Linked DNA regions of Nothobranchius furzeri. The protein of the gene in region 3 purifies or fractionates together with the protein of the main gene of each other region. This does not show direct contact. Links are inferred from orthologs where the notes say so. Each region holds a gene or a part of one and is shown on either strand. Other genes may lie near its edges.

Evidence for each region.
Region 1: the proteins of med4 (region 3) and polr2j purify together in Homo sapiens (affinity purification with mass spectrometry; 3 studies listed by BioGRID and IntAct, with this or other methods). This does not show direct contact. The link is inferred for Nothobranchius furzeri from reciprocal best matches to the Homo sapiens genes MED4 and POLR2J.
Region 2: the proteins of med4 (region 3) and cdk19 purify together in Homo sapiens (affinity purification with mass spectrometry; 7 studies listed by BioGRID and IntAct, counting the BioPlex papers as one, with this or other methods). This does not show direct contact. The link is inferred for Nothobranchius furzeri from reciprocal best matches to the Homo sapiens genes MED4 and CDK19.

Annotation. Positions count from the first base shown.
Region 1 is NC_091743.1:77,207,523-77,212,608, forward strand, and holds polr2j (DNA-directed RNA polymerase II subunit RPB11-a), read right to left. Parts: upstream 3,091-5,086; 5' UTR 2,873-3,090; coding exon 2,730-2,872; intron 2,179-2,729; coding exon 2,070-2,178; intron 1,336-2,069; coding exon 1,234-1,335; 3' UTR 1,172-1,233; downstream 1-1,171. Other genes in the region: deoxynucleotidyltransferase terminal-interacting protein 1, read left to right, coding at 107-167, 261-332, 506-561, 739-847; protein phosphatase 1 regulatory subunit 15B, read left to right, coding at 4,128-5,086. UniProt on the Homo sapiens protein: Core component of RNA polymerase II (Pol II), a DNA-dependent RNA polymerase which synthesizes mRNA precursors and many functional non-coding RNAs using the four ribonucleoside triphosphates as substrates.
Region 2 is NC_091742.1:28,595,861-28,601,494, forward strand, and holds the start of cdk19 (cyclin-dependent kinase 19), read right to left. Parts: upstream 3,472-5,634; 5' UTR 3,365-3,471; coding exon 3,362-3,364; intron 3,288-3,361; coding exon 3,142-3,287; intron 1-3,141. Other genes in the region: amd1 (S-adenosylmethionine decarboxylase proenzyme), read left to right, coding at 4,224-4,336.
Region 3 is NC_091754.1:35,365,584-35,371,223, reverse strand, and holds the start of med4 (mediator of RNA polymerase II transcription subunit 4), read right to left. Parts: upstream 3,864-5,640; 5' UTR 3,797-3,863; coding exon 3,723-3,796; intron 3,475-3,722; coding exon 3,408-3,474; intron 665-3,407; coding exon 494-664; intron 149-493; coding exon 91-148; intron 1-90. UniProt on the Homo sapiens protein: Component of the Mediator complex, a coactivator involved in the regulated transcription of nearly all RNA polymerase II-dependent genes.

The DNA of each region.
Region 1 (5,086 bases), on a different chromosome or scaffold from region 3:
GTTTCAGTATCTTTAATGACTCCATATATGATCAAAATGCTTTTGATGCTCAAACACAAACAGCCTCAAAAGAAGTGAGTCATCAGCTGCTGTGATGTCATCACAGGGCACTAGGGATGGGTGGGACCAGAGGACGGATCTATATTAAACACGCTGACCTGTTCAAGGTAACTCCTGACATCAGGTGTCTGCTGGACCTAGTAAGGGTCAGGGGACTGTTTCCTGTGATTAGTAAAAAAAAAAAAGTGTGTGTGTTTCAGTATGCAGCAGATTCTAAGGATAAGCAGTGGTTGGCAGAGAGACATCACATGAGGGCAACAGGAGGAAAGATGGTGAGAATCTGCACACGCACGTCAGTCAAATGGCCACACCCACTTTTAGCTGCTGACCTGATCACTGCAGGTGATCGCCTGAATCAGTCATCAGATGAAGTTTGTGTGGCAGTGCATCATGGGTAGTTTAAAACCTATTTAACAATTGTGTGTGTGTGTGTGCATACCGGCAGGCTTACCTTCTGATTGAAGAGGACATCCAGGATTTGTCTCACAGCGATGAGTACAAGTTAGTATCCAACCTGAAACACAAACTTCTGGATCCAGCTGCAGAAAACAGTTTAATCACTAGAACAGAACCAGCTACCAGTTTTATTGACCTTATTCTAGCATTTGTTGTTCTGATGATGTAGTTGATAGCTGGTGAGATGTGTGTGGTTGCCGTGGTAACTTGCATCCCTTTTAGGGACTGTCCGGATGTCAGGATGGACGAGTTGAAGCCGTTCTCCGTTCCTCCGTGGATGGTGGAGAAGATGCAGCGAGCCATGGAGGCTCAGAGAGACTCTGACCCCTGATGGTCACATGATCAGGGGCCACACGGCATGTGACATCACAAAATCAGATTTTTTTTATTTTTTACTGCTTTTCTTTTAAAAGAATATTCAATTAAATCTGATTGACAACTATTTTGTTTTGTTTGATATAGTTTAAATTCTTAGAGGTGACATCACTTCCTGAAGATCAGCTGATCAATGCTAGAATTAACAGGTGAAGATTTCCATACCAGCTGTTCCTTTGGACATCTGAGTGGGATCAGATCTAGTTCCAAACCCTATTTTTAATAGTGTTTGGCAATTTTGTCGAAATACTTGTAAAAGGTATTGACTAAACACAGAATCTGACATCTTAAGTTTATTTAGAAAAACAAAACAACAAAATGAGGTGAGGTCAGAGGTCAGGGTCACTCGATGCCTTCCTGTTTGTCTTTGATGGCAACTCTGAAGCGTTCTTCCAGCAGAGACAGCTCACTGATCAGATCTGTGATGGCATTGGTGAATGCTTCCTGTGGAGGAAATGACATCACATTTGGTTAGGTTTCCAATTTCTATCATTATTGTGTCTCAACCAATCAAGACACAAAACATATGAGAAACAAATCCAGACCCACTTGGGTCCAACAGCATCATGAGGCTTAGACCACCAACATGTATAAAGACCAGCTGGAGGACAGTGCAGAAGTTGAAGCTGAAAGATCTGAAAAGCCTCCAGAGGCTGGCTCCAGTAGAGGTTTTATGCCCCAACCCCTCTATCTAAACCAATGAGAAATGATCTTGTTTAAGAACACAGCTTACACCATCTTGACTCCTGTTGGTTTGCGTCCTGCCGGCAATGCGGACCAAAGCTCCGACACCGGTCATACAGGGACCTAACAGCCCGTGTCAGAGGGCCTGGTACCCCATGCTCCTGGACTACCCCCCACAGGGCCCCCTGAGGAACACAGTCGAACACCTTCTCCAAATCCACAAACACATTTAGATTGGCTGGGTGAACTCTAACGCACCCTCCAGGACCCCCCTAAGGGTACAAAGCTGGCCCAGTGTTCCACGATCAGGATGAAAACCACATTCGTCCTCCTGAATCTGAGGTTCGACAATACGACGGACCCTAAATAAAATATATATATAAAAAAAAAAATATATATATATATATATATGCATGCACACATTCCTTCACTTCTCTGGTGAAGTCCCTACAGCCATCTTTACTTTATTTGGTGTTGAAGACCTGATGGGTTACCTGTGGACTGTAGTCAGGTGTGGTCTGCACTCGGATGACGATCTTGTGCTCAAGAGGATGAGGAACTTTGTAACCCGCGAACAGAACCTGAGGATCCTTCAGCAGCTGACTGACACACAAAAACACACAATTAGGGGCCACCAGACAGGACACCTGTGTCAGAGCTCCTCCCACAGGCGAAGGCCGGCTGCTGTCAGGTTTTTTTTTCTTTCCAATATCAAATTGTGTCCTTGAGCTCAGATGATGTTCTCCAGTGTGTGTGTGTGTGTGTTTTACGTCCAGATGATGTGCCCCAGTGTGTGTGTGTCTTACGCCCAGATGATGTTCCCCAGTGCGTGTGTCTTACGCCCGGATGATGTTCCCCAGTGTGTGTGTGTGTGTGTGTGTGTGTGTGCGTGTCTTACGCCCGGATGATGTTCCCCTGTGTGTGTGTGTGTGTGTGTGTGTGCGTGCGTGCGTGTGTGTGTGTGTGTGTGTGTGTGTGTGTGTGTGTGTGTGTGTGTGTGTGTGTGTGTGTGTGTCTTACGCTCAGATGATGTTCCCCTGTGTGTGTGTGTGTTTTACGCTCGGATGATGTTCCTCAGTGTGTGTGTGTATGTGTGTGTGTGTTTTACGCTCGGATGATGTTCCTCAGAGTGTGTGTGTGTGTGTGTGTCTTACGCTCGGATGATGTTCCCCAGTGTGTGGTCTTCCTTGTTCAGAGTGAACAAACACGCGTTCGGGACCTTGGTATCTTTACTGATGCCGATCTTTTTCTCTCCTTCAAAGAGCAGAAACGACTCGAAGGCTGGAGGTGCGTTCATGTTTGTGCTGGAGCAAAGAACCCCGAACCGAACCACTAGGATACTTCCGCTCAGCTTTCTTTGTCTGGTTTAAAGACTGTTAGGAAATCAGCTTTGTGTGGCATTACCGCCACCTGCAGCACGATAAGCGAAACTGCATATTTAAATCAATAATAGAAATTTGCAGCACGTAGAAAATGTTTACTTTCACAATATTAGGATAATACATGTTTGACCTAAACACGGTTCATGTAAAATTTGCAGCATTTTTTTGTTTAATAAAAGCTAGGACCTGAACAAAATACATCAAACACAGTTCATTTTAACCAGAAACACACGTTTCAGTGTCACTCTCTGCTTTTCTGCAATTTACCAGGTGATTAGCCAAAACGCTGCCCATGGCACCCCTGATGGTACCAGATGTCACCTTAAGGTGGTGTTACCATCTGGTCTCCTCAATGCACCCATGACTCAGAGGAGCTATACCTTTACAGCGTGTGACGCCATGTCCTATTTTTTCCTCCTATAGCATAAATAATTACTTTATATTAATGAGATTCGTGTAGGAGTGCATCGAGAGTAAAATAAAAAATGGCTCCCTCTGAAAAAGAACTGGAGAAACTTTCCGCGCCTCCGCTTCTGCCGCGCGTTCGTGCCGCTCCGTGCCGCGCCGCCAACCGTCTGCCGTTTACCCGGAAAAGGAAGACGCGGGGCTTCTGCTGATGGTCTTCTGACTTTCTGATGAAATCTCCCACTGCAGCCATATAGACAGACTCACGGAGTTGTGCGGGGGCCAAAACTCCTCTCTGAACGGATACCGGGCAGTATTACCGGTGGGAAGAACTCCCTTCCATCAACAGTCGACGAAACCAACCAGAAAGCGGAATTTAAATCGATAATTTTAAGTCGTCGCTGGGAAGTAAACTAACCGCCGTTTGCTTCTCGTGCTAAGCTAACCTGCTAACCCAGCAGAACCTCCCACCCGCGATAAGCCCCGACAGGATGGCTCGTTTTTCCGCTTCACATTGGGACTTATCATCGTTTCACGGCTCTAGCATGTTCAGCTCGGCTCAGTTTTCCAGCTCCGGTACCACACGGAGGAAGTCTAACCACCACTCTCAGCGGAATGTCGCCGGCTCCGGGCTTATGGACGTTATCTTTTGGGTTCCTGGCGGCCACTTTAACATGTTCTAGTGAGGTTTGACAGCTGTCAGTGTAACTTGCTAAAACCGCTGCTGTTTCAGGGAAATTCATTTGTGCACTTTAAGTAGATAAAATGTTCAGAAACATAAACGCCGAAGAATGTACGTGTGGAGGAAAACGCTCGTCCCACCCACCCGGCCCCGCGGTCACATCGGTCGGACAGGATAGCCAGGACAGCTCGTGGATCCGTCTGCTGTCAAGGCCCGCGCTGTTGCTGCGGCGGAAACTCCGCCAGTGGAACATCGCTCCGGCGGAGCTCAGAAGCAGCTTGATGAGTGAAGAAAGTGAGACTTTAAGACAGTTAAATGGCATGATGCCCCTCAGCCAGTCCGCACCTGCTCACCTGACCCACCTGCAGTGTCAGCACGAGGGGGCAACCGGCCTGCTGGAGTCATGGGTCAGCAGGTCCGCTGCGTCTCTGCGGGACTGTCAGAGCCCCGGGGAGATGGAGCTCTGCCAGCAAATACCGAGCGTATATGTTTCCTCTGTCGGGACTTTTTTTACCCAGGTTCAGTTGATCTCTCAGGAACACATCGGAGGAAAGGTGTGTGTGCCAGGGAGCTTCCCGGTAATGGGGGGCTCCACAGGTAAAGGTGGACCATGGTGGAGGGGTAGCATTCTGTGGGGCGAGGAGAGCCCAGCCAGGGGGCTGCTGTCGGGATATTACCGGCCTGAGGAGGGGGCAGAGACATACTATCTTTGTCCTCAGGCTGCAGCCCAGACACATGTTGCTGAAAAGAGCTCAGTGTTGGAGGTGACGAAGGGAGAAAACGCTGGACCCCCCCACCACAAAGAACCAGCCAACAATGGAGGCCTTCATACAGTCCAGAACATAGGGAGCTGCAGTGAGGGGGGGCATCCCTCCCCTGAGCAGGACAATGGGTACTTCAGCCTGGAAGAGGAGCTCTCACAGAGGGGCCTCCTCTCCCAGGTGAAAGCACCCACTGAGGAACAGAACCGAGAGGACCCCCGCACACCTGAGATGGAGGCGGAACCTCAAGAAGAACAAGCCACCTCTAATGTGGATAACTG
Region 2 (5,634 bases), on a different chromosome or scaffold from region 3:
ACTATCTAAATACTTAGAGGATAACAACCTACTATCACAGTACCAATCGGGGTTCAGAAAAAACTTCTCGACAACTACTGCACTGCTCAAATTTTCTAATGACATCTATTCTGGTTTTGACAATAATTTATTTGGTGGTGCGATTTTTCTTGATTTAACAAAAGCCTTTGACCTCGTCAATCACTATCTACTTTTAGATAAATTATATGCTTTTGGTCTGTCAAGGCCGTCTCTACTGTGGTTTAGTTCTTTTCTTCATCATCGTTCTCAATTTGTTTCCTTTAATGGTTCTGAATCAAACATGCGTGGTGTCATCAGAGGTGTTCCCCAAGGCTCCTCACTTGGGCCATTATTATTTTCAATTTTTATTAATGATTTACCACAGTGCTGCAGATCCTGTTCTGTTCAGTTATATGCAGATGACACAGTCTTATACTGTTCTAAGTCGAGTTAATCCGAATTACAAGAAGCTATTCAGCCTAATTTTGACAAGGTGCAGCTCTGGCTAATGCAGAACAAACTTCTTTTAAATAAATCTAAGACTTACTCCATGCTGTTTCACAGAAGTAGAACTCTATCTGACAGTGACAGGACTCTTAATCTTTATTTTTTGGATTCCTCCCCGGTTCAACCGTCTGTTAAAATGAAATATTTAGGAGTTTGGCTAGAGCCAGAGCTGTCTTTTAAATTTCACATTCACACAACATGTCTTAAGGTCACACGGTGTTTACGTATCCTTTATAACTCAATAAATTGCTTTGAACCTATTGTTCGAAAGTGCATCGTCACTCAGCTTCTGTTACCGATCATTGATTATTCTGATATTTTATACCAAAACTCAACAGTTTCTAGCCTGCGGTCTCTTGATGTCGTCTATAACAGTTTGTGTCGTTTTATTTTGCGGTGTTCATTTAACACTCATCATTGTTATATGTATGATCTTCTTGGTTGGCTTCCTTTAAAAGCTAGACGACAATTTCATTGGTTGATATTTATGTTTAAGTGCATTTATTTTGATTTTCCACTTTATCTAAAAACACTTTTGGTTCCCATTGATTCCTTGTATTCAACCCGCTTAACTACTCTTCCATCATTTGTTGTTCCTCGTTTTAAAAAGGAGGTGGGTAGACTCGCCTTTTGTGTTAAAGCTCCTCAGGACTGGAATAAATTACCCGCTGAATTAAGATCCATCTCAACAATTCGTAAATTTTCCCGCACTGTTTATGCTTATGTAAAGCCAAGCTGTAGTTGCTTTGTTTAATCTTTACTATGATGATTTTGTGCATTCAATGGCTAACATGCTGTATTTCGTTGCCAAACTTTGTATTCAATTGGGATACTACTTCACTTTAGATTTATTTATAATGTAATTTCTTGCCCTTATTTCTCTTTTAGTGCCTCACAGCAGTTTTATTTAATTTAATTTGGTATATAGGTATGTATGTACGTATGTACACTTGTTGGTATCTATGTATCCTTGCTTATGTGTTTATATTTACGTGTGTATATATATACATTTATACATATCGTTGATTTTACTATTATTTACTTTCCCCTTTTTTTTTTTTATTTCTGTTACAACTTTCTAACTCTGCCACCTTATTTGTTATTGGTTGTGTTGTAGGAGGACCTGCTCGAAAACGAGATGTTACATCTCAAGCAGTTTATCCTCCTGAAAAAACATAAGTTAAATAAATAAATAAATAAATAAATAATGTTCTGATTTTACTGAAAAACTTGTTCTGTAACAGTTTCTTTACTATTGTGATCAAACATATTTAATCTCAGTTCTGAGGCTGCTCTGTAAATAGTTTTCAGATAAACAATACACACATAGCAACTTCTGATCAATCCATATCAATTTCAGATTTAAAATAATGTATTGATGTAAACAACACCCACTAATTTCCAAATAATAAATAAGAGGTGCATTCATCTGTGTGTCTCCTTTGATCCGCATTAGTGATGTTTCCAGCACCAGAACAATGAAGCAAAGAAACAAGATTCCTGAGTTTACGTTAGTAATTTTATTTATTAGGTGCATCTGACCTGTTCTAGTTTTCTCTGAAATGAGATCAGACCAGTGCTTCTATGGGTTGTCTCCTCTCTGCACTAGAAACATGTACTTTATTATAATGTTCACTGTAATGCATCTTGATGTTCTCAACAAATAAATTAAATCAAAGATATTGGTCAATAATGCCAAATATGTAAATTTGTGTTTCAGTCATTTTTATACTGGCTTAAAAATACTTCATTAAGTCTACTAAGCAGGGGTGTAGAAGGTGTTTAATAGGGCCAGCCCAGTAATGGTCTTGGACCAAAATAAAGGGGGCAGAAGGAGATGTTTTTCCAGACGAAAAATTAAATGCCACCCCCCCTCCCCCTGCAAAGTGTGTCACTGAGAGTTTAAAACTAAAATTATTCTTGTGCAAATATTGGTGTATTCACCTTTAATACTAGTTATTAAAATGCAGCAGTTGCTGGATTGGTGCAGTTCAGAGTGGAGGGCATCAAATAAAACAATATTAACATAAAGGTGAGACGTGTTATCCCCCCCCCCCCCCACCAGCTGGAAATGATATTTTGCTTTTATGCAGATCGGAGTAGAGCTTTGGCACACGAACATTCACCGGGACTGATAACAGAGCAGGTCCCTCAGCGGCCGGGCCAGCAGACAGGGACACACAGGTCCTGTCCCAGGGACAGAAGCCACAGGGACACAACCTGTCTACGGTCAAACCGGAGGAATCCCGCCGTTTTGTAAGCAGGGACACCGCGGTCCGGTGAACAGACACAGAGCTAACGTCAGAACACAAACATCTCTGGTGAAACGTGTTGGGACAGGAGCGCGGCTAGAGGTGTGTGTGTGTGTGTGTGTGTGTGTGTGTGTGTGTGTGTGTGTGTGTGTGTGTGTGTGTGTGTGTGTGTGTGTGTGTGTGTGTGTGTGTGTGTGTGTGTGTGTGTGTGTGTGTGTGTGTGTGTGTGTGTGTGTGTGTGTGTGTGTTAGATGAAAACAAAAACACAGACACACTCTGGAAGGTTCGGTCTGCCGCCCGTCCAACACCAGCGCGGCCCGTGTGAACCCAAACGCACCGTGAGACCGGCAGGGCGAACGGAACCGGACCTCGGTGGTCTTACCTGTCTTTGCGCTTAGCTTTATAAACGTGTCCGTAGGTGCCTCGACCCACTTTGCAACCTTCATATTCGAACAGATCTTCTACTCTCTCCCGCTCGGCTGCCAGCTTTGTTTTGAAGTCGTAATCCATGTTAACCCATAAAGACGACTTAAATTACAACAAAATAAAATATTAATTATTACACGCATTAATTAAATAATCTGCTCGTTTTATTCCCCCACCATTTCCTTGTTTGGGATTTTGGTCTGCTCCGCTGTGTTCACTGGATCGTTGACGCTTCTAATTGGGGCGCAGTGCTTGCTGGGTAATGGAGTCTTCTGAGCTCTCGTCGCGACTCACTAGCTGTGAAACTAGAATGAGAAAAACTACAACCCGCGTTTCCCGCTCCCTACGGGTCCGCATGAGTGCTCGGCTCGCTAGTGGTCCAGACTTCTGTGTTGGACGCTTTTGTTCCCGAGGTGAGCGGTTCAACAACATAGCCTGTGATCATATCTCCAGGTCATTTTTAGAACATACATTTTGGAAACACACTGCTGCTGTCCCAGACCACGTTGTCTTTTGGGGGATATAAATAACTATTTTTAATTATTTTGTCCAAGCTATGAAAACCAAATAACTCACAATAACAGCATTTAACGATGCAAACACGTGTGTTAACATTATATGAAGTTAATTCGCTTTCTGTCCTGTTTACACGGTCCTACCACGTTTATTTTCTTGTGGCAATAAAATGGCACGTGAGGAAAATCAGTCTCCAGTGCGATTGGAAGGTTCCTCAACAAATCACAATGGACAACCTCTACTCATACAAGCGGATTGGTCAATCCACTGTGACGTAAGTCTTGAGGCTATAAAAGAGCTGTCCGCGGCTCGTTCGGTGCTTACACAGTATGGCCGGCGATATTAGCTAGCGCTCGCTAACTGTATTCTCTGCAAAAGGGAACGCGGTAACTTAAGAAAATTAACATCAGAATTACTTTAATGACTGTACCTCAATAAATTATAGTCAATCGAGAAAGGATTTATTAACATACAAACGTTGCGAACAACGTTTACACCTTTTTGTTGGGCGTCTGTTGTCTCATGATGGAGGAAAACGGTGCACATTTCTTCGAAGGGACCGAGAAGCTGTTGGAGGTGTGGTTCTCTCGGCAGGATGAGACCAAGGGGACCGGGGACCTCCGCACCATCCCAAGGTTTGAGTCCTACTGGGTTGAGTTCATGTCTTTCCGTGCATGCGAGCGTAATTTCGCGGTAACAGCGGCTGAGTCCATCATGGCTTCGCGGTTTAGTGTTAAATAACCAAATAAGCGTTCAGAAATGTTGTTTTCCTGTTGGTTTCCCCTCAGCAGCTTAGCGAACCTGTCTGTGGCCTAGCCGTCACCCACCAATCTGGCTAGCAACGTGAGCGAAAATGGCCTCCTCCCCTTTTAAAGTGTGGCTCTGTTGAGCTGAGTCATTCATTCTGAGGCTGTGGGCTGTGACCAGTACAGCGATCGTGCTGCTGCTGGACCCGTCAGCTACAACCGGGCAGCAGGCTGGCCTGCACACGGCTGCTTCGGGAACAGAAGGTAGAAACCCTCTGTTCTGTCTCGCTGGACGGTCCCGGGTGCGGTTTGTAAGTGTTGTATTAGCTTAGCTGTAGAAGTGGGGTGGGCTTGGAGTGTTTTGTTAGCGGGACCGATGGTGAGGCCCAGTTTCTCGTGATGCGGTTCTCTGGGTTTAATACGACAGACACGATGGAAATTCTGCTGATCTCCGGAGAATGCAGCGATTTTACTCTGCGCCACTCCGCTGGGGGTCTGAGGAGCATGTGGCCCCCGCCCGGCTGCCGCAGCCACCGGAGGCGCCAGATAACGGATCCGGTTATAATGAGGGAAACAGGTGGGTGTCCGGAGGAAAACGGAACTAAAGACTGATCCGGTTCGCTTCTTGGGAACACAAACAGGGTCCCATGACGGTCCAGACACCTTTATCCATTTTGTTAGTGCCGACCCAAAGTTCTGCTGTTGGAGGGAGCCCGGTCACATTTCTGATTACATGGGAAGTCCCCTCCCATCGCCTCTGATTGGTTGAGGGCTCCACCTATCAGATGGGTCGGAACCTCCTGCTGCCTTCACACACACACAGGAGAATGGGAAGGGAGGGTTGAAAATGTTCGTGACCTTTGCCCCCAAATCTGTCTGACACGTGCCTCGGAGGATTGTAGAAATCTGAGTAAAATTATCATTAGTGCTGTTTTACTTCCAAGTGACGATTTTAACAATGGAGTGTACCATTCAGAGTCCCAGCAGCGCCTGGCCGTCCCTTCTCCGGACTAAAAGTGTCCTGCACAAACCTCTAACCCTGGTGGGTTTTTATAGAAGCTGAACAACTGTTCAGATCATTAGCTAATAAAGATAAATGGTGGCGTGGCCGTTAGGGTGAGTGGTGGTGACTGGCATTGATTTACGGCCAGAGGGCAGATTACCAGCATACACGGGGACTGTGAGTG
Region 3 (5,640 bases):
CCGTGTGTGTGTGTGCGTGCGTGCGTGTTCTGTGTGTGTGTTCCATGTGAGTGTGTTCCGTGTGTGTGTGTGTGTGTGTGTGTTCCTCACCTTTCCGGGCTTTTTCTATAGACTTAAGTTTCTCTTTTGCCTGGTAAACAGCGGTGGCCTTAAATAAAAGAACAAGGGAACCAAAAATCATTTGAGGAAAGAAAACACTCAGATTTAAAGAATGATGTGTTTGTGAGTTTCTACTAATTATTCATGTTGACCAAAACCAGCAGCGTTGGTGGAGACTTCACACAAACCCACTCTGAAGCAGCAGCTGCTCCACCCTTCTCCATGACAGCTTCATGCTTTTGTTTGGTTTGTAAATTCCCATCAGCTATTGTAAAAGTTCAGTCTTTAAGCAGTTTACAAACAAGCAGCAGCACACAGCTGCAGGAATGGAATGCAGCTCATACAGATGGTGCTAAATCATATCACCGCATTGCAATTCCTACAACAAACCTACTAGTATGTGTTCGGCCTCCTTCAGCTGCTTCTGGAGCTGCTGGATGTCGCTGTCTCTTTTCTCCACCTCCTTCTCCAGCAGCTGCATCTCCTGGTGAACCTTCCCCTGCTGCTGGGCCACCTCCATCAGCTCCTGGAACTCCGTGTCCCTCTGCACCAGCAGATCAATGATCTAGATGGGAAAAACAGATTGCAAATGTTACATCCAAATTCATATTCAAAGGATAACCAGTTAACAGCCATGGCATGTCTAATCAGCAGACTTTGCTGCATCATTATAGACACCAGTGTACCTCAGATCTTCCAGGAAAAGTGATTCCAACAATAACAATAATAGGTAGTAGTTGAAATGTAAACACTCAAAAATGAAAAGGCAGCAGAAAAAAAATGCCAAAAATACAACAACGTCAAATAAAACCAATACAGAAATCAAACATCATCTCATTATGAGGAATATAACATCAAATCTGCACGGAGAAGTAAAAAGTGTCTCCTGAGGGTACCTGAACATACTGTGAAAGGCAGAAGATGGGATTTGCCAGATTCTGGGGGCGTGGCAACTAGACGCCGGCTGGTGCTTGTCAGGTGTGATGAGGCCGGAGATGATAAAAGGGTGGCAGATCTACCAAGGTGTGTGTGTGTATGGTCGACCTGTCATTGTGACACCCGGTTCTGGGGGGTGGGATCGTTCGCAGTTGGTTAGGACTGCCGGCGATGAAGACAGCTGAGTAGGTGGGCAGTGTTCCAGTGCTAGGACGGGAGGCTTGACGCCTTCTTTAGGTAGCGAGGGCTGGGAGTATTTGGGTGCCGAGACCACGCCGACATCTGCCACAGCAAACTCTGGCAGCCGGACCCGAGCCATGGACTCACCTGCCGTCCACGCAAGCTGAACCCCGGGGCGTTGGACGGTGTTGGAAGCTCAGACCCCGGGGAGGGGGTCGCATCGACTGGGCCAGCTAAGTACCTGATTGTTTGATTTTACTTATGCTGAACAGCTGGTTTTGTCTTAAAGGGACAAGAGGCAGTAGCCGACGAGTTCCACAGCGGAACTCGCCCGTGGTGTTTTATTATTCAGTTGTGCTAATAACGGGTATTTTTGATCATTTCTGCCTACTGGTGTTGTTTTAGGTTCTGACTGGAGGGTAAGACTTTCTGCCAGCGCACCCACTGAAACTTATATTAAAATACTTTACATAGAAGTAGGGTTGTCATGGTAACCGGTGTAGCAGTGAACTCTGGGGAAAAAAGTTGACAATAATAATAACCGCCTTGTTTTTAAAAAAACTATATTATCTCGGTGATTACAGTGGCTGCGGTGACCCTTACCAGCCACCGTATCATCTGCTGAAGTTGCCGGCGGCACATGCGCGCTTTGTTGTTTACAACCAAAACTTTCTTGAAGCTAAAGCTGAAATAATGGCCAAAGGAGGAGACGGCAGCGCTCAGGACATTTATTATCCCTCAAAGAAGACAAAGGGGGAAGTACGGGCATCTTTTGGATATTTGAAGAATGCCGAGGGAGTTGATAGAAGACGACTATCCTGTTTGCAGCACGTGCAGAAAAAGTGTCTGTGAAAGGCAGCAACGCTTCAAATCTCATGACACATCTGCGTGACCATCACCCACAACTCTACAGTCAACGCAAGGCAAGCTAACGTTAGCGTTTTAGCTAAAATGTGTGATCCGAGGATTTGGGTTGAGGGAGAATGCAACGAGTCGCTATATAAAGCAGCCGCAGCGCCGCTACCTGCATATAAACCGTGTCGACGCGGACACCCCCATGTTGAAATGACGCTATGCATTACGGGGCTCCCAGGGACAGATAAGAGTTGGTCTCTCTCCGAGAATAATTATGAATTTAACAATGATTACTGCTTGATGACATTTTCCCACATCTGCAAAGCTCACTGGAAGGACACAAACTGAGGACAATATTTTCCTGATATAGGGTTTATTACTCAAGTAAGGGTAAAAAATATCTGATTAGAAGGCTACTTGAGTGCTGAGTATCATCTGATCTAATATTTTTTAAATAATGACATCAAACAGACAACAAATAAGAAGTTATGGGCAAATATTGATACTTTAAAGACTAAAGAGGAAAAATGTAAACAAATAAACAACATAATTACACAATAACACATTTTAGACAAAATTTAGACACAAACTGAGGACAATATTTCCTGACATACAGGGTTTATTTAGTTGTCTGAAAATGTAGCACGTTTAAAAAAATACCGCGATAATACCGAAAACCGTGATAATTTTGGTCACAATAACCGTGAGGTTAAATTTTCACACCGTGACAACCCTACATAGGAGTGGTGTATGATGAACTATTTATGATCAGATCAAACAGGACATAAATGCTATGGAACCGGTTTTGTTCCAATTTTCAACATAATATGTTGCCATAGCACCACAGAGATGGAATTAAAGAAAATTAAATATTCCCCGAAATACGGGAAACATTCAGGATTGAGCACGTAAACTGAGCTTAGGCTCTGCCCGTGTTCTAATCAACACAGAAATGTATCTGTAACTGCTGGACTCTGATATTTAAAGAGCAAGTATCGTCTAAATTAACTTTTTTTTTGCTGACTTTTTTTTTTGCTGATGAACTGTATAAATGAGTGTCTAATAGTGTTTTAAATGTGTGTATTCATTATTTTAGCATTTTGGTGCATTTTCTTTAAAACTTAAAAATTCTGCCTAAATACCACAGTATAGCGCCACCTTCAGCTTAAAACATAGAGTTTGAGACATTTTGAATACACTTTAGCCAATGGCTGAAGAGAAAGATACTACGTAAACCAGTAGAGTACTACGTAGCAGCTCTGTGTCAAAGTTATAAAGCATCGAGAGTGTAATCCAACAGCCTTGGATCTGACTCCAGACCTGCTCCTGACCGTTACCTGCGTGTCGTCTCCGGGCTGAGGTAGCTTCTGAGATCTGGACAGAGCCAACATCTCGATCAACTCCCTGAAAATACACAGACAGACAGACAGACACACACACACACATAAAGAGAAGGGTTATATGTTGCCCGTTATAATAAAGGTTGCAAAAGACCCAGAAACACTGAACCATCTTTTACTTTCAGAGTAATCACCAGGAACTCTAGATCGGAACCGATGCCAACAGCTGAATAACGTGATCGATAATAAAATGACATCAGCTTAAAATATTAAATAAATAAACAAGAACGTTCTAATTATTTTTAATTTTACCGTGATAAAACCTCCAAGTCGTCCAACACAGACAAAAGTCTTTCTTTCGTTGATTTCTCCGCCACGGCCGCCATTTTCGGATCGCGCGGTCGGACCGGATGTTACGTCTCGTTCCGTTTCCTGTTGTGAAATTAGAGCCAGAGTTGCGACACTGCGGCCACGTGGTTCAGGGAGCTCTCAATAGTTCCAAACATCCCAGCGCCGTACGTCAGTTTGAACGGTGTACGGTGGGCAAATCACAAAAACTGAATATAGTCACATTGCCCCTGGTGATTTTAGGTAATTATTGAATATGGCCTGTATTTGATATACAGTATTATATAATAATATAATAATATATAATATTATATATATTATATTATATACTGCGATGGACTGGCTCTCTGTCCAGGGTGTCCACCGCCTGATTGCCTATTGCCCCCCCCCCCCCCCCCCCCCCCCCCCGGACAAAGTGGGTTCGGACAATGGTTGGATGGATTATATATTATGTCCTAATTCCTTCACAAAGGAGCCTATTTATATTTTTCCAAGCATTTGTAGGAAGACCGACACCCTTGACTGTTCTACGTTACAGGAATACAACAGTCCTAACACATTTAGACCACATACATTACTGTAATATGTTATAGAAATAAATTTGATGTAGTGTACACACTGCTCTACTAAAAGCATATTTAATAACTTTAAGTCCTACAAGAAGCCCTAAACTCGAGTTGTAATATCCATTTTAAAGTGGTTTATTGAAAGCTAGAATTCTGCTCCAGCTTACCTTGAAGAAATATGTAGCTGTTTATGTTTTGAATGATGATCTATTATGTTCAGTAGAATACATTTTACAGTCATTACTTTATATTTTTATGTGAAGACAGTACATGCATCCATGGATGTAATTTTCACTTGAGAAGTGGGGGGGGGGGGACACGGGGGGGGGGATCTTTACAGTATGCTGTAATGGGAAACAGGTTTCAACACAAACGGCTGTTTTCCGCTTGGTGTTAGAGCTCAACCAGTGTCAATTTAATATAGCGTAATATTGTTTTTGGATGGTAAAAAGTACAGGGGTCAAAACTTGATTTTGGAAAAAGTGGGGGGAACATGTCAGGGACATGTCCCCCCATTCCCCTCCCAAAATCACGTCCATGCATGCATCTATAACCCAGTTTATCTGGCTACTATAGCTACTAATTAAAAAGAAAAGTTCAATAAAACTGTATGGTCAAACACAGTAGATAATAGTGTGTTAATTGTGAAAAAATGAACACCAAATTTGTACAACATGTATAATAGCAGTTTTAATAAAGCATTTTACCAACATTATGTTTAGTCATTACAAATGCGCAAATAAGCTGAATCATTAATTATGAGCAATTTACTCAAGACCTAATGAAACTATTTTGAATAACTTTATTTTGATTATTATTGAAGGGACTTTACAGAGTTTTGAATTTTTATGCTCGCGATTGCCCCCTCAGGCCAAAAGCATAATGTCAGCTTCAATAGTAGGCTCATGCACGAGGCGCGCATGCTGTACGTGTGCACTCCTTAACAAAAATAACAGCTGAGACAGTCCCATTTGTGTGTGTGTGTGTGTGTGTGTGTGTGTGTGTGTGTGTGTGTGTGTGTGTGTGTGTGTGTGTGTGTGTGTGTGTGTGTGTGTGTGTGTGTGTGTGTGTGTGTGTGTGTGTGTGCGTGGCCCCGAGGATAGAGGACAGGAGAACGCGCAGCTAATTAATAAAATAATTTGGTTCTGTACCTTTCTCTTCAGCACAGCCGACAAAGGTTTATGATGGGTCAGTCCTCCTGTATGCTCAGATCATTCCCTTCCCTTGCTTGAAAAATAAAAACACCTCACTGTCTCACAGCTCACTGCTGTCTCACACCTCACTGTCTCACAGCTCACTGCTGTCTCACACCTCAC